Linked DNA regions of Lepisosteus oculatus. The protein of the gene in region 1 interacts with the protein of each later gene in a biochemical or structural test. Links are inferred from orthologs where the notes say so. Each region holds a gene or a part of one and is shown in the gene's direction. Other genes may lie near its edges.

Evidence for each region.
Region 2: the proteins of crhr1 (region 1) and magi3a form a complex in vitro, tested with the Homo sapiens proteins (2 studies listed by BioGRID and IntAct, with this or other methods). The link is inferred for Lepisosteus oculatus from reciprocal best matches to the Homo sapiens genes CRHR1 and MAGI3.
Region 3: the proteins of crhr1 (region 1) and magi2a form a complex in vitro, tested with the Homo sapiens proteins (2 studies listed by BioGRID and IntAct, with this or other methods). The link is inferred for Lepisosteus oculatus from reciprocal best matches to the Homo sapiens genes CRHR1 and MAGI2.

What each region holds. Positions count from the first base shown.
Region 1 is NC_090723.1:8,137,577-8,145,128, reverse strand, and holds the start of crhr1 (corticotropin-releasing factor receptor 1), read left to right. Parts: upstream 1-4,469; 5' UTR 4,470-4,498; coding exon 4,499-4,558; intron 4,559-5,409; exon of another isoform or gene 5,410-7,552.
Region 2 is NC_090700.1:34,829,201-34,837,190, forward strand, and holds the start of magi3a (membrane-associated guanylate kinase, WW and PDZ domain-containing protein 3a), read left to right. Parts: upstream 1-4,960; 5' UTR 4,961-5,104; exon of another isoform or gene 5,105-5,235; intron 5,236-5,719; 5' UTR 5,720-6,968; coding exon 6,969-7,275; intron 7,276-7,990.
Region 3 is NC_090702.1:34,684,255-34,691,766, reverse strand, and holds the start of magi2a (membrane-associated guanylate kinase, WW and PDZ domain-containing protein 2a), read left to right. Parts: upstream 1-4,482; 5' UTR 4,483-4,648; coding exon 4,649-4,946; intron 4,947-7,512. UniProt on the Homo sapiens protein: Seems to act as a scaffold molecule at synaptic junctions by assembling neurotransmitter receptors and cell adhesion proteins. Plays a role in nerve growth factor (NGF)-induced recruitment of RAPGEF2 to late endosomes and neurite outgrowth.

The sequences.
Region 1 (7,552 bases):
AAATCTTTTAGTTAAGCACACATAAAAATCAGTTGTTCGTCTTTAGTACATATTCTGGCCAATCATGTGAAAGGCATATATAAACTCGTGCTGGAATGGCTGCAATGGTGAAATGCATTCATGCCTTTGTAAAGTTGATGCGAGCAGGAGACATTAAGGTGTTTTTAGGTTGGGGCTTCAAAACCCGGGTGAGACACCGCTGATCTGCCCCCAAAACTTACTCTCGTAAAATCACAACTGTATAAAGGAGTGCGAATCGTAGCTGCTTTACACTAATGAAGTGTGTAATTTGTACGAACAGATGGTGATCAATGCTGGATGAAAAAGCAACACGTGTGAAGTTGTGTACTACCAGCAGGCTAGACTGTCAAGTGGACTACTCTGTGCACTTTTTTCAACTGCCTGCTTGCTTTTCCCGTTATCCTCTTTCGGTAATTTAACTGCCTGCACCTACGAGCCCAGGGACTCGGTATTCTGCCTGCGTTGTCCTGAGGGCCGCAGTTCCACTGGAAAGGAAGATTTCTGGGCTGCCTGCCGGTGGGCGTTGCCTAAGGGCTCATTAAAAAATACATTACAAATAATAAGACGGGAAGTGAAGACCTCAAAAGCTCTTTTATAGGCTATGGATGTGGCGTGTGATTTGCGATTATGCTGGATGTTTGAAGAGTTTACACTGAAAGACCTGTTACCGTTGCTTTTCCTTACAGGCAGTGTGCTGGAAGTCGATTCCGTTGGTCCAAACCTGCCAGCTTCTTCCTGAAAGCTTTTGCACAACGAAGATACTGATGTTTTACTTGCATGACAGCGTGGATCATTTTAAAGTTTGAGAAGCAATGCAGCCTCATCAGATCGTTGCAGATACTGCTCTGCAAATTAATAGATGTGTGGGAAGAGATACCCTTAGAGCAGAATAAATACAAATTTCAATTTGAACAGGGTTTCTTCACCAGTCTGCTGAGCTGTTGAGCTCTCATGCACTGCATTTCAAAATACACACATGTGACCCAAAATTAATGCCGCCGTTGTGGCATATGCGAAAGAAATCCACATTCTGGTGAATCATCCAATAGACTCTCACTACATGATTGATTGATTGATTGATTGCTGAAGTATGACATCGATTACAAAAATTGTATGCACTTTTCTTTAAACAATTGGAAAATGCAAGGTGTTGTTTCAAACTATATGGTTTACAATAACTTCTTCCCCCTGGCAGAGCAAATCGTTAAATAGGAAAAAAAAACTTAGAACACTTCACGGCTCTCATCTCTCAGCTTAGCCAAGGCAATCACACTAGAGCGAGCCAGAAGAGTCTTTCATTTCAAAGACCTGGTCAAAGGCAACTTGAAGAAATGCATCAATATCCACCCCTGGGAGATTATGGCTCTTGTCCTAACCCAATGAAGCAAGAATATCTGGATAGGAAACCAGCACTTTGCGACTCAATGATGTCAGAGCGAGAACCCAGGAGGAAGCAGAGCCCTGAAGCGAGCTGCCATGAGTGTATTGCACAATACATGACCACGACTTCTGAGATGACACCTCCTCAAGCTGCCAGACAGTCTGCAGATCTGGCACCGGCCTCATCAATCACCTTCAGCTTCGTGGAAGACTGTCATCCTTGAACGTGAGGGATAATAAATGAATCAGTGACTTTTGTCTGGCAATATTTAGCAGAACTGTCATGACAGCTGGAAATGTGGGGTTACAGGAGTGTCAAATTTAGGCCTACTGGTACTGTGCATCGTGACGACACCTTTCCATTGCCGGTAACTGCCGATACGCTGACATCTCATCAGTCTCCTTTAGTAGACCTCTACGGCCAAGCTCAGGCTTCTGTCCAGGCCTTTCAGTACACTGCAGTCCAACAGCCTGCCTGACTCTTGGCAGGGTGGATGGCTAATTTATGTGAAGAATCTCTCCCGAAATGAACTATCCTTTTAACCCCATTTATGTCTGTAAGCTTGGATCTCTACGAAACGTATCCATTACCAACCTTGTAATTGTCTGCATTATCAAGATGCTGCATCTTATACCATTTTTTCTAAACAGTTTGGAATGTTGGGTTTCAGCTCATCTCCTTCAGAGATTCATTCAAATGATAAATGGTGGGATATATTGAAGGATCTGCTTTATTCCTTGGCATTATCCACTGAGACCGCCTGAAATAATCAAATATTAATAGGCTTATTAGGCTACATCTGGGTTACTACATCTGCAGACACTCTGCTCTCCAGGGGGTAATACACTGGGCTTTTCTAACCCCCATTACCTTGTAAAATGGTTGCTGGACTGGAACACAAATCAAAGTTTTTTTTCCCCTATCTGCTTTTTCATTTCACAGGTTAAAAGACAACAAACCACAATAAAACTTCTTGTCTGGTCTTGTGGATGGGTGACCCCTAGATTCATGGACAGAGACTATGTAGTATCGCACTTCACAACAATACGGGTCTGTAGCAGCCAGTATGCCAAATCTTTTCTCTCTCTCTCTGGACATCACAATAGAGGGCCAAGAGCATTGCACCTGAGCTCCCTTAAGCTCTTTTTTATTCAATCTTTGATCTGCTCTGCATAGAAATGGCAGTGCTGATGTGTCCTTTCCATAACTTTTCCCCCAACCCTCTTCCGCCCCAACTCCTAAAATCCGTGACTGAAATGAAACACGAGACATGAGACATGAGAGTGATGTGCAGGTCCTTACCTGCTAGGACCAAACCAGGATTTGTTTCTTATGCTGGAACCATCGGAATGTTGGTAAAAGTGGTGAGAGATCAAAAGACATCAAACCAGTAACAATGGTTTACCACAGAGCACCCTAAACCACATCCTTCTGATCCCAGCTTCTGCTGGCCTGTTTTCCAGCAGAGTCCTCAGACGCCCCTCGGTAAGCTGAAGTTTTCACATTACTTATTCATCATTGCACCCAACTTGGAATCTACAGTTTTACAGCCGAAAACGAATTTGCAAGAAAAAAGGTCTGTTTTTGGAAGAAACTCATTTCTGGATGTCCTTATTCAGCTCTTTGTCCCTGTCGTTGGTCACTTTTAACAGTTGGTTCACACCTTAAAGATGTGGTTAGACAGCAGGAGGCTTTAAACACTGGAACAACTGAATGAGGCTGAGCTCAATGAATCCGTGCAAAATATGTTTGCAGGACTGAGCACAGAACCCAGTTTAAATAGTTATTTTCAAGCAATTCTATTTCATATAAGGGGGTTAATAATGACGAGCTCAACTGGACCAGAAACAAGAGTCGTGTTTGTTTCAGCACCAGGGCTGAGATATTAAGGATACTTCCTTCCATTAATATAATGCTTTTCATCCTGAAGGAACCCAACTGCTGAGCTTCTAAAGCAAAGCAATCCCTGTCCTGGGGGGGCTGTAAGGTTTTAGGGTTATTCAAAGCAGCAGCAGCACCAGAGTGGTCCACTTTAGCCAATGATGAGCTGACTGGGTTCATTAAGAGCCGAGTTGCAATTAAAAACCTGCAGACACACGGGCCCTCCAGGACCACCACGATCACCCTCAGCCATGAGGAGTAAGAGTTGTGCTACATTATTCATTATTTAATTGATCTGCAAGAAGCTTAAGTACTGTACATAACTATAAAACCAGCCCGGCTGTATGCAAGGCCTGGAAGCTATTCTTTGACTTCCTTCATATACAGAGCCCTGCGTTACTGGGAAACTGAAGCAAACTCTTGTCATTACTTTATAGCATTGCAGTTCCTGAAGAGTCCCATGCCTTCGGACTGATGCAGTTGGAATACTTAGCTGATCAGTTACTAAAATGATGTCCCTAACTAGACCTACAGATCTAAGATAAGATCATGTTTATTTTCACAGCTGATCAGGGCTATAAAATTAAGAACTCAGAGGGCTGGTGTACATGCACAGTTTTGTTCCAGCTTTGCACTTAAGCGCCTAAGCAAACTCTGTATTGGCTTAATTGGACCAATTCAGTAGTTTCTCCAGCTCTTCAGGGTGCTAGTGCTGGATGTGCTAAGCAGGCAGGTACCCTGGGGTTGTAGCATTAGATATAGACACCAAAGGACACAATGACTGGAGGCCAGTCACAGTGCAAACAAAGCAGGGTTTCCATATCAGGATGTTTGCCCAGTATGGTTTAAGGAGAAGGCGCATCCCATGACGTTGTCATCTAATGGAAAAAAAACTGTCATCTAATATAGCCTGGAACTGTTTTAAACAAACGCCAGGACCCGAGCTTGCCTGGTACTCAGATTTATTATTTTTTTAAAAGGGGAAGAAAACACATACTGTAGAACAACAGAAGATTTCTGATAATTTTTTCTTTTACCCTTGAAACACTCGTGGTTTATTTAGAGCAAATAATGCAGCACATTTCCTAAATTCGCCACCACCGTAGTCTAATTAGGTATCGTGCTAACGCAGCACAAAGTGCAGAGGTGTTCACACCTGGGAACAGCCTTGTGCGATTTCTATCATTATTGCTCTTCAGCGCAGAGTAGCCGATAATGAGACGCTTTAAGAGTAAACAACTATCAAAGCATTTGTTTGAGCAAAAGGCACTGCAGGTAGGCATCAGCGATTTCCTTCATTTTCTAAAGTAGCACGATAGCAACATAATTTATATCAGCATGCCTCACGGGAACCGCAAGAGAATACTAAATGGCTTTTCGGGGTGAAACAGTTTGGCAGAACTCTATATCATCTGGGTAGTATATAGCTTGCTTTCCAATCCACACCATCTTACACACACGAAGCAATTTGCAGGTAGTCGGCTCCATACAAGAACTTAAAAGATATAGAGGCGTCCGCCTTCTTACAGACATCAGGTTATTCCAGAATTTCAACCACTGTCTCCTCCGGGGAAAACAAACTCTTTCGTTTTGCAATTTTCTCTCGGCCCGTTTGGTTTAATGTGCTCCTATGATCATTCCGAAGAGACTCCGATTGTACTTTTCTCCGTTTAGCGTGAAATTTGATGTTTCGTGTAAACGGAAAGCGAAGAGAACAGTACAGCATAGTTCGGCTTTGATAACCCACCCCAGGAAAATAGGCTAACCCCAAAACCGGTGTTGGTAAACGTAATTTAAAAAAAAACAACTATTACAAATCTATTATATTGGTATTAGTTATCTAATTATTTAAATAAATGACTATAATTGAGCTCAAACGCAACCGGTGGGTTAATCGGTAAATTTACAAATATTATTGTATTCGAAGTAAGCAATTAATGTAATGAATTGTAATCAGTTAATGATAACGTGCACTTCAGAAATGTTTTCAAGACCACGCAAAAAATGTCCATTCAACCAATATTCCGTCAGGTGGAAGACGTACAGCGTGTCTCCTGAAACACAAGACGATTTGAAAAATGATGTTGATGATGAGCAGAGAACTTTCTGAAAGAGATGGGATCGAAAATCCATAACCCTCGAATTGAAGGGGGATAATTAATGGAATGTCATAGGAGCTGCTTTCTGACTGAATGCCTTTTTTGCTGTACGACAGCTTCAGATGAGATACGAGCCGGCGGAGAACATGCCACAAGCGTCCGCACGTTCTTTTAACCGATTCGCTCTCCTAAAGCCTCTGAACGGTCTTTTTTTTTTTTAAAGTCGCTATTTAGATTCCGTTTTCAAGCTGAAGTACATGAAGAACAAGTCATAGGTTTAATTCCATGCTGAAAAGAGACGTTTCGGCTGTGGAGCCTTCTTCGGGTCTGAGGAAGACAGGGCAGGCAGCAAAGATGAAATAACACAGGAAAACAAAAGTTGGGAGAGGGGAGGAGGTGAAGAGAGGGGTAAAGTCGAAATCTGCATGTGAATAGAGAAGATTGCACGAAAACAAGTCTGACGTTGAGAGAAGGTGTGAACCAGGTTTCAGGATAATTTTTGTTTCTGATGTCTTTCTGCGGCGGGAGTTGAGAAACCCTTCATTGAGAACTCAGATGGAGAGATCAATGTGATCAGGGCCGTCAGAGGTGAAATGAGAAACTATGGGCTTGGAGAAATCTTTACTCTTCACAGCCCTGACATCGGTCTCATAGGCTCATAGGTGGCGTTCCCCGACACCAAGAAGACCTACTGCTCCGACGCCTTCGACGCTCCTAGTATATGAAGAATGCTTGTATACACTATATTGTACATTTACATTATAAATAAAATCGGCCAGCATCGGCCAAACGGAGTTTGGAAATAAAAGGAAAGACATCGACACCGCGTTTCTTTGTGCTGTGACAATTTCCCGGAGCCTAATTTCATAGTTTGTGGCGAAGGTAGGAAAATTACATCCCGCTGCGTGTTGCCGTAAATTCCGACACGACTCCCTCAACATGATGCAGTTCTGCGCAGCGAGGAATCGTGAAACGAACATGTTGAATGTTGGTTAATCGCTTACGGACTTCAAATTCTGGTACATCTCGTTAAACCGACAAGGGCCGGAGGGTTATTGATAGGTGAGAAACGAAACACCGGTTTGAAATCAGCGTCTGATTTATATTTGCAAATAGTCAATGTGTTTATTCTTATCCGTTTATTCAGATAAAAGTAAAACAACACGGTAACAGCAATTCCTGAGCTCCTGTCAGGTTTGCCGGCACCGAAATAGGTAGGAGATCCCCATGGTAACATATACTGTAGCTTGCCCCAGAATAAAGATAGGAGTGGTCTTATACGCGCTGCACAGCTCGACTGCTCTCAGTGCGCAGTAAGCTCCCGTATTGGCAGGAGGACGGGATAAAACTAGTTAAGAAACCAGACCTCTACTACAGACACAGAAACATGGACCGGGAGTGATATCTGCAACCGACTGAAACGCCGGGTGACACCAGCAATCGGGAACTGGTTAATACTGTACCCAAAGCGAACTGTACTGTAAACATCAAAACCCTTGTAGATCGCGACAGGGACATCCTTCAGAGTTTAAAAGACAGACATTAAGATGAAGAACATAAATTGGTTTAAGGGCGCAGTTCGACAGTGATAGTGGTGCAGGGGGTCTGGAGAAGCGCTCTCACTCTGCGGGAGCCCTGAAGTCGTACGGCGGGGCAAATGACCGCAGGCTGCGGCAGGAGTCGCCCCGGTCACCGGATTCCCAGCCAGGACGCCGGGCGCCCCCGCTGATACCCTCAGCCCCGAGGCAGCAGCGCAAGCGTGGCCCCCCTGGAGGACTCGCCGGGCGATGCTGTCTCCGGACGTGCCGGAGTTAGGAGCTATTCTGTGAAGGATCCCCGGCAGCTCGGAGCATCCGGACTGTTCCGAGCGTCAGCGACAAACTGCACAGGAGTTGGGCGGCAGAGCAGATAACGTCCCAGCAGGCACGGAAATCTTGCCGGCTGAACTGCCGAGTGCAGACACTTGCTCTGCTAAGAATTTGGCGACTGTGGCATTGCTTTAGTCTGAAAGAAGCGGAGGCTCGGATGGACAGGTCGCAGCCTTCAGTGAATCTATAAACAAGGGACAGGCAGCATAACGTTTCAGCGCGCTTTTTGGAAGGCTTGGACGAATGCATGTAGCGTGTGACCGATTACCATCCACAAACAACACAGGCTTTGATTGGAGGAA
Region 2 (7,990 bases), on another chromosome or scaffold:
CTGACAGGAGCTGGTAGCCAAGGGAGATCAATGGGTTTTAAGGCAGAGGTGTAAAATCCTGCAGAGCAATGAGCATCATGTAACCCGTTGTCACTGCTGACAGATGTGTCATTGCTACCTTTCAGTAGAGCTGGGCCATGATAGAACTAGAACATCTTGATGCAGAAGTGCTGTCCTGAACCGAAAAAAAAACAGCACCTGCCTTATTTTAACATGCTGGATTAAAATAATTGAAATAAAGCAGCAGGTCTTAAAGAACCCACATCCTTGCAGAATTCAGTTTCTTAAAATGCTGGTTGGGAAAAACAAAATCATGCCAAGGAGAAACAATGGATTTAGACAGTCTGTCCCTCAGTGGGAAAGTCCAGCAGGTTTGGCAGGTCTCTTGAAAGAAAGAGGTGGGCCTATCAGTCTACATCAGATGTAACCAACAATCAATATATGACTTGAGCTGTGAATGGACAAGTGATTTGAAATGTGTTGCAGAAGAGAAAGAGAAAAATAGAACTAATTGGAACAAACTTAAGCATGTGTATTCATGCTTAGGGGGTTGTTTTAGACCTGCTGGACATCAAAGGGATGAGGAAAACAAAGTCCAAAACCTTTGCACATATCTCATACATATAATTAAAAAAATATTTGTATTATCTGTGCAAGAACCTTGAATGCAAATTGCCTGCTTTTTATGTTATCAGATTAACAAAAAATACTGTGTAGTAGAAATGTACCTAATTTTTCTGTTTCTTTTTTGGATCTTTGTCAGGCCTGATCAACAGTTAAGAACTGCTCCAAAAATTGGCTTTCGTAATTGCAATACTTGTAATCTGGATAAATAGAACACAGCAGTGACATTTTCTGAAACAGACCGAAAATGATCCAGATTACAGTGAACAGAAACATAAAGTCTATGACTGGTTTACTTTTATCAAGATTATAAGGTGTGCTAAACGCACCCCTGTTCGTCATTCTACCTGAGCTCCCGATGATTTAATCCCACCAGTTATTGGTCTTAATTACAATTGTTTTTACGTGCTTATTGTGAAGTGTGATTTCCCTGTAAGACCTGCTGGGCCATGGTTTTTCACCTCTTCAAATTACCACTTTCGAAAGACTTAGAACAACAATGTTGTGACCAGTTAAAGTGATTTGATACCTTAAGTACCTTGGAAATGAATGCATTTGAATTAACACCCGAACACACTTCAGTCTTCAAGCACTACTTAATTGAATATGTAATGTACTTAATTGATCAGTAATTACATGTGTTTGAAGTCTGTAGAGCACTGCTTTGGTGGGCTGAGGCTCTTCTGATTGTCTTTCGACTTGTGCCCTTAATCTCCTGACTTGTTAAGTGGACCAATTTATTGCTCTACTCCCAAACTAGCTAGATGGGCTGAACAGCCTCCTTTCTCTTGAAACCTTTCTTGTGTGTTTGTGTTATGCAGGACGGGTTATATAAGAGATGACAATGGCTTGACTGGTGCTCTCTAGTACTGTAAGTAAGGAACGTGGTCTAGATCTCTGAAGGTGGGATCCATGCAGGATTGGGTAGGTAGTTTTCAGTTAGTAATTGATAGAGACCTAATAAAACAAGCGATTGGACTTTGTATGCAAATAATGTCTTCAATGAAGCAATTAAGATCTGTGGTGGAATGAAAACCAGAATGCTCTTAGGTTCTTCAGGACTGCAGCTGCCTATTCAGTCCTTGAGGGGGTGTAGGGGGTGTAGCTGCTTTTCGATTAGCAGCTGACAACTTCAATTCAATAATGAGATCAGTGGCCTTTGAGAACTGGTCTAGATGAGAGAGAGAAAGTATACCAGGCTTGGCCAGTTGTGTTCCCTGTGACGCCAAAAGCCTTCACTCTTCTTTTCATTCCAGCTTGATCTCGGTGACTTAATTGGATATTTAACTGAACTACTCATTTGTGTAATGACATGTTTTTCATTGTTCTCAAGTTGTTGTGGTTAGAGATTTCAAAGCACCCTTCATATTTTAATCTAGCCTGGAATCTACACCTTCTTAGTAGCAGGAATGTATAATTAAGCTAACGATCATAGCAATGAAGAATTTTGTTAAATTACTGAGAGATCGGCGGCAGTAAAAAGTAATAGACAGCCCCCAACCAAGACTGGGAAGGTCTGGTGGTATCCCAAATGTCCAAGACATTGTCATTTTTCTAGAACTGAGATTCCTTTAACACAAGCCAAGCATATTCAGTGGAATATGTGCTCCGAGTGACTTCTTTTTACATTTGGGTGAAAACATTGCAGCCACAGTCCTGTCACATTTGTAAGTCCAGCAAATCCCACTGAACCACAAATTGAAGAAAAGTCCTCTCCAACTTGACAAGAAGACATTAAGGCTGAGACGAATTAAAATATCAATTAACCTTTTCAGATTAGGTCCAGTGTTAGCTGGCAGGGATACAAACCTCGTGATCACCAGCTATTGAACCAGGACTGAGTGCAGAGGTAGAAAAAGCTGACTGAATAAATGCATTCAATTTTAGCAATGTCATTGATTCCATTTAACAGTCCTAAATGGGGATCAGGTTTGATCTGAATGAGCTTCAGAAAAGAAATCAGCTTCACCTTCAGCCGCCTGGCACACATTAAAGCTTGATGCTGTAACTTTAGTGTCTTTTTAATTTATAGGACCGTGCGGTTTGACTTTTTTTTTTCTTAACTTTTTTTTTGTCAAGACAGGCTTTGATTCTGGTTGGTTCTGCCATGCAAATTTCCAGTCAAATGCTAAGCTGCAGGTAATTCAAATTGCTCATGTAGTATAGCTTTGACTGACGAATCTGAGAGGTTCGAAGCACAGCCATTGGAAATGTGCATGCCCTGTAATAAAGCGGTGATATTCTTTTTATAATAATAATTACTTACACTTATATAGCGCTTTTCTGGACACTCCACTCAAAGCGCTTTACAGGTAATGAGGACTCCCCTCCACCACCACCAATGTGCAGCATCCACCTGGATGATGCAACGGCAGCCATTCTGGGCGCCAGAATGCTCACCACACATCAGCTATTAGTGGGGAGGAGAGCAGAGTAATGTAGCCAATTCATAGATGGGGATTATTAGGAGGCCGTGATTGGTAAGGGCCAATAGGGAAATTTGGCCAGGATGCCGGGGTTACACCCCTACTCTTTTCAAGAAACGCCCTGGGATTTTTAATGACCACAGAGAGTCAGGACCTCGGTTTTTACATCTCATCCAAAGGTCGGCGCCTTTTTACAGTATAGTGTCCCCATCACTATACTGGGGCATTAGGACCCACATAGGCTGCAGGATGAGCACCCCCTGCTGGCCCCACTAACACCTCTTCCAGCAGCAACCTTAGTTTTTCCCAGGAGGTCTCCCATCCAGGTACTGACCAGGCTCACACCTGCTTAGTTTCAGTGGGTTGCCAGTTGTGATTTGCAGGGTGATATGGCTGCTGGCTTTTTGTATAGTTATTTTGCTGTTTTACATTTTTTTTACTCCAGCATCCAATCCTTATTACAAGGGGGGCTATGAGCCTGACGGGATACCTGATATGGACAAAGCCACCCATTTTTGCATTTTCTTCTTCCAGGTAGGGGTCGTGGGGGAGCCAGAGCCTATCCGGGCAAGCAACAGGCACAAGGCGGGAGGAACTGACAAAGCCAATGAAGGGAATATCATCCAAAACTGGTGCATTTTGATCATGTTTTCTAGCCCGCTACATATTATTTTCTACAAATGAACGGTACAATGTGTGGAAAAAGGAAAGTCCTCGACTCCGTCACAAGCCTTTTGACTTCCCTCTGCCTTTAGCTGTCTGTATGTAGATCAAATTAATCAGTTTTAGACTTTTGTCACTTGGCCCTTGAGCTGGATTTCGTCCTAGCTCTTTGACAGTGTGCGACTGTGATGCCTAATGGGGCAGAACACCATGCGGCAGAGGGCTTAATGGACAATGGCATTGGGACATGCTAACACGCTCCACCACTCTGATCCCCGCTGCCAGAGCTCAGGTGGACAGTGGAGGAGCTGTTGGCTTCCTGTGTCCTCTGTCTCGGGTTCAGGGTTCAGGTCAGAGGCCTTATGTTTTTTTAAAGATATGGGGAATCTGGTGCTACAGACATGCCTGAATGAGTAGACAGCGGGACAACGGTGTATGAATGGATATATACAGTAGGTAATCAGAAGGTAAGAAAGACTTAGAATGATATTAGAATGAAAGACTTAGAATACATTACATTATATGATATATAAAAAAATGAATTGACCCAAGATTTACACCAAATTAAATTCAAAATAAGTAACACAACAGGTTGAAGACTACAATTGCTGCAGTGGACCAGGGCCATCCAGTCTTGGCATTAGCGTTATATAAACTGGCAGTGCTCCTCTCCATATGTGTAATGTCCAGAAAAGAGCGTCACCACATGATAGAGGCTAGTGTACCCAGCTGTGTAGGACTGCTGTATTGCGGCTGCTGTTAATCCAAAGAGCTAAAATCGTAATCAAGTTAAGTATTTGTATATTTTAATTTTTGCAGTAATGCTGTGCATTGTTTGAAAGATGGATATTATGATGATGTCGACCTTGAGTAATGTAATGACAAATGTCCTTCGTACTTCGTGAAGTGTTAGAGGTTATGAACATCAGGCTGCCATTGCTGTTCCTCACCACAAGATGGCAGGCTCGAGACACTACGATACCTTCGCATTAGCAGATAACACATTTACATTATTTCCATTTCCCCGCCTGTAAACTGTACTGATTATAAAAAATATATTTCGAAAACAGGAATTTGAGGCATTTGCATTGCTGTTATGAATTATGATGAGTTTTCTTTGTCGAAAACTGGGGTTATACGTGCTTTTGAAATACGCAGTGCTAGCAATAGCGTAAGCGTCCAGTTAGGTCTGTACTGATGAGGTCTACGCAAATTCTCTTGTTGAAATAATGGGACGCTTCGGGGCGCAAAGTACAGGACTTCCTTAGGTATCCTGATGCGGGACTAAGGCAACAGTGTTAGTATTGCTGTCTAACTGTGTAGTAACTGAATAACAAGGACTCCGCTGAGAGTCGGTGGAATTGCGGACAACAGCGCATTTATTAAACGTGGTAGGTGTCTGGAAGACGATCTTCCTCCTGCGGTTTAATACAAAAAAGCACTGAAAAGCCTCCGGTTCTTGGCTCGCCATTCACCTGTGGTGCAGAACGTCGTATTTCTTCTGCTGTCCTGTCTTCTCAAGGTGCGATCTTTTAACGTTTTGCTAACTTAAACCTATACTGTGTAGTCGAGTAGAATTTTTTAAAAGTGTTGCGTGGGGTGAGAGAGAACACAGTAACCTAGTCGCTGCGAAGTGTCCTTTTAATTTTAGGGGAAAGGTAAGGACTGACAGGTAACGCGGATTTTACAAATATTAGTACCGGAGTAGTATTAACAAGTGAGACAATTTCTGGAACATTAGCAAATTATCGCGGTGACCAGTGACCAAATATTTGCTCAAATTCCCCTGCCGGTGAATCTCATTTTGACGTTGTACCAGACTGATCTCCTCTTAAAAAGAGTCTGGATAGAAATGTGTGCAGGGTGATAGAGGGAACACGATACGGTCCTTGTACTCGGTGAGCAGCACCGTGTTCGCCTGTGATGAGCATGATAATAATAGCATGAGGATCGAAGTGCACGGTCGGCACTCAAAGGGTTAGCCGTGCTATCTCTCTGTGTTACAGGGTAACAACTCGGAAGACCCGCCCAGCTGTTTTTAGCATTGGCTGGCCCCCAGTGTTTTTACTCCCCATCCTTCTCCGCGATTGGTTCGAAACAACAGCAGTCAACCGCGCCTTGCCCACCCCAGCACTACTAACAAGGTGAAAATGACTAAAAAAGTTCTGGAATCATTTCCCACTCCGGGCTCGTGGGAGGGAGGCTGCCGGCGCTGTGACTGAGCTAGCGAACCCGGAGCCGCTTGCTGGAAGAGGCAGATGCGCGGCGGTGCGGTCGCCACGGTGGAAAGTGCTCAGCAGGATTGTGGGACAGATTGAGAACAATCCTCCGGAAAAAAACACACACACGGGCATTCCGAGTATTACACACAACAGCACTGCCTGCGCCGGCCGTGCCCATTTCACAGGAATGCGGCTGCTGCCAAGTTAAAAACGAACAGGTGCGTTGGACGCGAGTGACGGAAGGTTTGTTGTAGACGCGGGGCAATAATAACGTGAAGCTCAGTTTGAAGTTGGAAGTGTTTTCTTCCTATGCCCCTGCTACACCTCCAGCTGATATAGTTTGCAGGTGCTTTTGGAATTCCGGCGAAACTGTTAAAGAAATTGCGTGGACTTGGCGTAGTGACAGCAGTCCGATTCATTAATCAGATCGTTTGATCAGGTTGAGGCCAGTGACTACCTTGTAAACAGCGACAAGAAACTGAGCCGATCGATTGTTAATTCCTTCTTTGGATAGGACATTTGCTCATTGGAGTACAGAAATCAGCTATTTGCATTTATTCATTGTTTTTTTTTATGTCTAAGAATATATACACAACGCCGTGAGAAGCATCGCTGGAGATCAATATAGACAGGATCGGACATGCACGACTGATTGAAAATAATGATCTTCTGGCAGCATAATATTATTTTAATTTGTTTCATTGCAATTTGAAATTTTAAATGGGAAGGCTGGATTATTTACGTGCTGCTTCAGCGAGCCACAAGCTTGAATGATAGCATTTTATTTACAATGAGTGACGGTCGGAGCACAGATGATTATCCGTAGCTAAAATTATATAAATAAAATAAATATTAAAATCTTCACTATTGGAGGAATGGAATTAAGAGACAACAGGAGGCTTACTTCGTTTCGCAATCAACATAATGCAATTCTAATCTTTTGTTTAAACGTGTCGTAGGAAACTAGAAAATCAAGTAAACAAACAAAACGCGACTTTGCTTTTTGAAAGCTTTTAACGGGGAGTAAAACAACATGTCCAAAACATTGAGGAAGAAGAAACACTGGTCCAGCAAAGTTCAGGAGTGCGCGGTGTCCTGGGGCAGCGCCGGTGAGTTCAGCTCGGTGGTGGAGGTCCTGGGGGGAGCGGAGCTCGGCGAGTTCCCCCACCTGGGCCAGGTGAAGCTGGAGGCGGTTGTCTGTCACTCCGGGAAGCTGCCGAGCCCCGGGGACGTGCTGCTGGAGGTGAACGGAACCCCGGTGAGCGGACTCACGAACAGGGACACGCTTGCAGTTATCCGCCACTTTCGGGAGCCGATTCGTCTGAAGACCGTCAAGCCAGGTGAGTTTTTATCACTAAGTGAACTGTTCGCATTTTTATACGCTTCTTCAATAAATCAAATATACTTGTCCTCTTGTCAGTGCGAGTGATTAATCGTTTCCCTATCATAACCCAGTTTTATTCCCTTTATGGTTATGCTCATTATTAGTTTTTATTTGGATTCTTTAAACTAACAACACGGTCTAGTTGTATTAATTATAGTCTGCATTTGGAAACTTGTGCTAATTTCATGCTCTGTGGTTAAGATATTGCATGGATCTCGCTCTGAGTGTTTTGCCTTTTCTGTCTCAAGTTGATCCTGTACCGAGTTGTTGCCATGAGGGCCTGTTGACCGAACGGCTATGCAACAGAGTGGAACATGTAATAATACGGACTTTGCTACAGCCAAGTCAGGGGTCAGTGGCCGTTCTTCTCCGGTGTCGCAAGGCCAGCCTGCGCTGGACGCAGTCCTGTTTAATTGGACTGAGATTCAAGACAGGGTTTTAGTTAATATTGTGAACACCCCTCAGACTCGCACTGCGTCTTCGTGCGGTTATCGAAAAGCCCTAGCTCTCTCTAAAAACCCCCTCACGTACAGTATTATTAAAAACCGGCTACTAGTACTAGCGCAAAAGGATACATTCGACAACTGTATGCTGGTATATATTGTAGTATTTACCCCGCTTACTGATGATACCTTTAAGATTTGTGGCACGTAACCCGTTTTAAATATACT
Region 3 (7,512 bases), on another chromosome or scaffold:
TGATGTTTAATGAAACTCCTGTGCCCCCCAAAACACATGCATACTGTATACTGACACACATCCCAACATTGCTTCACATTTCCTGAAAACTAAAGTGCTAAAACCTGTATTTTACTTAAAACAACATAATGATAAAACATAAAAGTTCACATCCCTAAAACCATTCAGTCATCATCTTAGAAACTTGATTAATTGGATACCAAATTCAGCATGTCGGGGAGTAAAAATCTAATGTCCCTTCTGTTTTTTGGATTTCTCATTAATGGACTCTCAATGATGCCTTCCTTGACAGGAGAAGTGAAACCTCAGATAGATTATTACCAATTATCCTTTCATGCCACTTCTCTACTGCAGACAATACAATGTATGTTATTTAAAAGATTCCCACATCAAAGCACCTAACTTCTCGCCACTTCATCTGTAGAATATGGTTGACAGAATTACTCTACTGCAAACTCTTGCTATCAGTTCAGGTCAGTGGCTTCTCTCTCTATCCCTCATTCTTTGTCACTCTCTTCTCTCCTCTTTTGTGAATGAAAATATGAAATGCTGAATCCACAGCATAGATTCCTTAACTTAATTACATTCCAGGCAAATAGAAAAACAGAGTTTTGACAGCCAACAGCATGCTTGTGGTCAGTGGACATACTTTATTAATTCTGTCACTTACTGTATAGTTTATCAGTGTAGCATGGAGCAGATGACAACAGCTCCCATGCTGACTTCGCACCAAATGTTCCTAGCTAATTACGAAGTATTATTCCACATGACCTATCTGCTAAGATAGACAGCTCCCACACAATGTCAGCAAGGACTTGTCAAATTCATTTTGCTATGAAAATAAAATTTCTATCCCACTTTAAAATGAGACACTCCTTCTACGGTTGTGTTTTGGTGAGTGTACCTCCCACCTCAAGAATTTCAAAAATGTGCAAAACTCACCACTTTGGGGAGGTCGAGATTATTTTAATGTTTTAAGTGATGTTCTTTTGCTTTTGTCTTATTTCCATTAAAGAGAACAGAAAATAGAAATTGCAATGTCTTGCAAATGCATCATCCACTTCAAATGAATCATTTTGCTGAATTTCAAATGAGGTACAGTATTCACATATTGTAAAGTCAATATTTTAATCAAAATTTGAATGCTCAAATAAAATGCTTCTGTGGCTGAAATAAGGTAAAAGTAAGCAAAGGAAGGAAGTGAATACTTTTGAAAGGCACAGTAGTTCAAATGGTAACCTTTCAAATTACTTGGTTGTAAGACATACTGTAGTGTAATAGGAAATATTCTAGCAATTTAATTTTCTATTCTGTGAATGCTTACAAAATGTTTTACATAATTTAACAAGGAAACAAAAATTAACCTTGATGAAACAACTATGTATTTGTGTTTTTTATACAGTGAATCATATTTTAAAAGTCTCCACTGTGAACAGTAAACATATAGTTGGCTGTTTAAATAAGATATACTGTATACACACAAGTCAGGCATCCTGTGTGGGTGTTTCAGCCAAAATTTCAACAAAATGTAACACCCATTAAATATTTTGCAAAATAAAGGGTGTAGTGTTAATGTGGTACTGTAACTAGTACTGTTACCTCACAATTCCAAGATCATCAGTTTGGTCTTACAGTTGTGTACCAGGTGTTGAAAGTGCTGTACTTGTAACAGTATGGTGACTGCATGGACCAAAACTTAATTAAACACATTTTATACACAGTATAAAGTATATATTTAGCAAGATTGAATATACTTTTCTTAAAAAGAATCACAGCTTCAAAGAAAACAAAATATTATACATCTACTCCAGCTGGTGAAAAATGTCTTTGTGAAAAAGAAATCAAAATTCAGCAGCATGTTATAATCTTATTTGTCTATCTTGCTAATACATGGTTTAAAAGCTTCTGTGCATATTAAGCTCTCATACACTCAATTGGCACAGGTCAGCTCGGCATAATGCTTTAATCCAATGTTTCTGGGATTAGCATACTGTATATTCAGGCTTCTATTTGGAGCCTTATTATTTTAATCTACATGGAATATCCTGATAATCTGCATAGTGATATCAGTTTATTATAGCCTGGCATCTAAAAGCCATATGGTCATCCAGTTATCCAAAATACTGAGAACAGGATAAAGAGATATTTAGTTTATTTCACATCCAAAAACTTTGGGGACATGTGAACAAACTTCCAAAATGTATAATCTCATAATTGCATTATATTAGATATCCTTTTGTTTCAATAAACATTAAATGGCCTTAGCACAAACCTCAAATTTATGAGGTATTTTATATCTGTGTAAAATGGTGCGCGTGATTATCATTGCCATTTTACAAAGCATTATTATTTTATACACATTGAAAAATGTTGTTATTTTATAGACATTTAAAAATGATTTTGATAAAACTGCAAATAGAAGGTCTTGATATCTTGTTGATAAAACCAAAGAACAAAGAAAGGGTTGATTGCAATGGCACTCAAGTGTAACACAAAAGGAGAAACATATGTCTGGGTTCATACAAAATTGTGAAGATATACTTCTCAGTAACATACTGTAAATTAACTTGGTTGGGATTATTCTTGAGCTACAGTACAGTGCCAGGCACAAGTGGCTGGGTGACAATCTGCCTCATACCATACTTGTGATTGTAAAAAAAGCCTGGGCGATTTAAATTTGGATTCCATTTGAGGCAAGTGTACTCCAACAAATCTACTAAAATGTTGCACAGTCTCTCTTTACGGTGACCAGAACCAACTGTCAAAGGCTGTTACAGTAAGTCTTCAGTACGGTGTGCTTCCTTCACAATGGCACTGTGCCTAATTACTGTATGTGCAATGCTATTCACCCAAAGTACTTTACAAGGCAATTTACTGAAAGACAGTATTCCAATGCATCATGGAAACAAACTACAAAAGAGAAACACTTTAAAAGAAAACACTATTCACACTCTAGTGAACCTTCAGAAAGAGAGTAATAAATATGTTTGTGTATTCTAAATCCTAGAATCATATGCTTTGTGAATGTATGAGTATTTTAGGTAGGATAGCTTTGGTTTAACCTGTTTTGTTAAGGGTAGCCCCCTGGACATAGGATGAGGAGGCTTGAGCCCCAATCTAACAGAGGAAATAACCAAGCGGTAGCTGCAAGGTGGGGATGAGGTGGATGAAGACTAACGTATATGAGCCAAATGTGAAAAGAAGTGTTTGCATTATATACTGTATACTGTACACTATATACTGTACAGCATATACAGTAGCAATATTCAGTAATGATTATGATTAGGAACAGCTGGGTGAGATTGACTTTGTGTGTTTATCCCTCCTGAACTTCAATTAATAACTTCCTTTTAAGGTTGGAGTGTGTTAGGTAAGAAAATATGCATTTTTTTAAGTAATGTAAAACAACGACTAAAACAACCTTTCAATAGTTTTTGAGAATCAGGAATGAAAGTCCTTTCTTTACTTTCAGAGATAATACAGTAGCTCTTTTCATTACACTCACTACAACTACTGTACATGAAGGTACAGTACACCTAGGAAGAATTTGGAAAGACTGGTTCCAGCATGACACCGTTGTCGACAGTTTTCATCACAGTGCTTTAGAATTGGATTAGATACCACAAGCTGTTTCCAGTCCCTTACATCCACTATCCCTGTGAATGAAGTTGTAAAATTTGGCAAGCTACCTGCAGGTAGTTAGCCAAATTTTACAACTTCATTCACTTAGAAGCCAAGCGAGGACTATGTGTGCATGGAAAGCTTCAATGTGTCCTGTTGGTTTTACTTACTGGGCGTAAGGTAACCTTCTTTGTTAAAAGTAGCATGTTAACAAACGAAAACTATACAGTAGGTCTTTATTTAAATGGAGTCTGTTAAGCTCATACTTTACGTGTTTTTTTAGAAACGTAATCGTAATCAATTAGAAATGGCAACATGTCTGAGACATCATATGTACGAATTGCAAATACATGAAGGTACATCTAGAAAGACGCAGGGAACACTGATACCGCCATGGCACATCTGGGAACCCAGTTTTAAACATATATTATGCCCTCAATTCGCGTTAACACAGCGTTTGCTATTTCCCTGCATTCAAGTTTATTTTTAGATATTTAAAACGGGAGAGATGCAAATTTCCTAGAAGAATTTCTAACGAATTAAAATATTATGGCATGCTGTGTATTTGTAAAGGACCTGAACGCCCCATTGTTAAATGTGTCAGAAATCTGCTTCGTTAATTTCGTTTTATATATGTCTGTTACAGGCATCACTAGCACATCTCGCCGATTCCCCTTTGAATAGTTTGCTTTCTCAGTTAACAAGCTTAATCCCTCAGTATTAAAATTAAACGCACCGCCTCTTTATCTTTCCTCCTGGCTATTCTGCGGAGGGATTCAGAGCCCTGCCTCTCTCCTCCAGACATCACATCCGGGTCAGTTGCCTGCAACTCTGTGTAAACCAGCTTCACAGTTACAGTGTAACGCAGCCCCAGACAGCTGCTATAGAGGCTGGCTGACATGGATATTACCAGTAGCATCCAGTATTAATAAAATAACCTAGTATCCACTGGGGCATCAAAATCCAATATCACAGACAGTACTGGGAACTTATTGCATGAATAACTCATGCAGTATTTATTTCAGCCATGTCCAAAAGCCTGAAAAAGAAAAGCCACTGGACCAACAAAGTCCACGAAATTGTCATTTGCAGGAATAAAGAAGGCGAGCTTGGGTTTGAATTGAAAGGAGGCGCTGAGAATGGGCAGTTCTCCTATGTCGGAGAAATAAAGCAAGGCAAGGTTGTCTGTCAGAGTGGAAAACTGTCCCAGGATGAGCTACTGTTGGAGGTCAATGATACTCCAGTGGCTGGACTCACCATCAGGGATGTGTTAGCCGTTGTCAAACACTGCAAAGATCCCATCAGGCTGAAATGTGTCAAACAAGGTGAGTAGTACTATACTGTAATGTAGCCATCGACGTACCGCTGCTTTGATTAAGGCAAACCTATACTGTATACTATACAGTTCATGTGTGTAGTTCGTGCTATCGAGTGTTACTCCTGTTTATGCACTGTACAAAACGACGACAGTTTTAAATCTAAAACTTGGATGTCATCGAAAATTATGTTCTCTCGCGTTCTTGTTGTTTTTCCAGGAAAGGTCAAAGTCAGCAAAGTTTAAAATGCAAAAGAGAGTGGGCCGTTATGCGTAGCCTTAGATACCAGTTACAAACTTAAAAGCACAACAAAGCGGTTTGGTCGTAAGAGGTGTCCTTTGGATGGGAGCAGATTAATTAAAGTTACCGTAAATAATTTCCTTGAGAGTTTTTCACCTTTTATTTTAATATTGTTGCTGTTTACACGTTTTAGAATCCGGTCTTAAGTTGTAATGTGAAGTCAAGCATCAGTAGCTGAAAGGCACGGAAAAGATGAGTTGTTTTCGGCTTCAATAGCTGCTATCAGAAGCTAAAAGGAAATCCCATCCTCGACCTCCTGTATACAGTTTTACAGTCTTAGTATTATGCCTCATGTAAATCATTCTTTGCAGTCCGTGTTGTGCTTTCGGGCGATATTGTATGATTGATGTCTTTCGCTGGAAGTGAAGGAAGGTGGCGAACAAGCGTTCCCAGTTTCAGGCACACTTTTGCAGTATGTGGGCGTGGCGTTGCAGCTTTACAATCAAAGTTTATATAGAGATATACAAATAAAACAAATATTTTCCAACGTGATCCAACAGTGATAGCTTAAAATACAACCGTAGCTTTAACAATGACACAAATGCTTTATTTTAACAAGAAGAGAAATGTTAATATTTTATTTTTCTGTTTTGATTGTCTTTGGATTTGAGCAGTTGCCTTGTTCCCTTCAAGGCTTAACTTCTTGTTGAGAGCATCAATGGGATACAATATCTGTTAGAAAATTAAGTTAGAACAGTTGCTTTATTTAAGAGGAAGGACATTTTGATTTGTTACATGTTTCATTTCAGCTGCTATCTGCTCTAGATTTTCTGCGTTTTGTTAAAAATAAGCAAATATACAGTATACAGGTACAATCAGCAGAGTCATTGAGTCAGACTTGAAGGTAGCAGGAAAACAATGTCTTACAGCATTTGTTTTGCTTTAAACAGTTTTATATATACACAAATGAATAGGCTTCACTACTAATATTGATCAAATTATACTTTATATTGAAAGACCCACACTGATTCAACCTTAATATTTACTGTTGGTGTGTATCTCCTGTTGCATTTGCACCCTTAATCTGATGTCTGAATGTCTCACTGCTGCAGATAAGAACTGGAACCAGTGTTGGCTCAGAGCTGCTTCATGCAATAATGAACCGAACATGAGGCGTGATCTTGACTTGTTTTAGTCATGCTTGTTTTAGTCGTGGTACAGGAAAAAAGGCATTATGAAACTTAAGTACTGTATGTGTTGTTGTGTCCGATACATCACAATATGTTTGACTGGTTGTGTAGACTGCATTTTGAGAATTTTGATGATAAGAGAGTCTTGAAGCTAGAGAATTATGATGTATTGAGCTTTACATCATGAGTTAATAGTTTTGCTAATTAGTTCATTTTTACAGATACATCTTCAAAACTGGAAAAAAAACCAATATTTTTTGCGAGTATCTTTGGGATATTTTCTTTGATACACCATTCTTGCTTAACAAAATACTATTATGGGGTAAATAATGTAATTTGTGATCGACTGTGTCTGTGATGAACTCCCATTCATTTCACCATTAACAGCAAAGAGTTTATTTTTAATTCCATTTAATTCATTTTAAATAATGATAATATTAATTTTAAATAGTGCCTTTCATTATATGTTTTCTGAAGTCGCTTTTTGATTAATCAACACCAGAGACAGCTATAGTGTAGATGAGTCAATACAGTAAACTAAACAATTAAAAGCTGGAATAAAAAAGTTTTAAGAAAGGATTTCAAGTGCTGATGATATGAGCTAAGAGATCATTCCATAGCCTTGGTGCAACATTAAAGAAAGCATGGTCTCCCATGGTTTTGGGCCTTGAAAGAATCCAGTGTGCTCAAAATGTATACTGTAAGTGTTAACAGTTAATTGATTAGCTTCACAGGAGTTCTACTACGGTGCTAAAGCCCTTAAAGATGAACTGCATTATTTTGAGTTCCATTCTGAGTAATTTATTTTAATTAATTTTAGTTAAGTTCTGTGCCACTATGTTCTGATCATACTGCAACTTAGGAACATAATTGCAGGTACCAGCAAGCACTTCATAACTATTCAAGCCTGGAAAACATAAAACCATGGTTTGCTTTCTGTATCAGATTGGGAGAGATGTGAAAGGATTTCTACCAATGCTGCTAAGATCGAAAAAGACATCTTCACAGTATTTCAAACATGAGCTTCAAGTGCAAGCTTGTATAAAAGGTTCCTGACCTGTGTCCGTGATGCTATACTAAGACTATCAATAGCCAAAGTGTGCGGAGTTGATAAGGAGCAGATAATGTGGTCCTTTCAAAGTTCA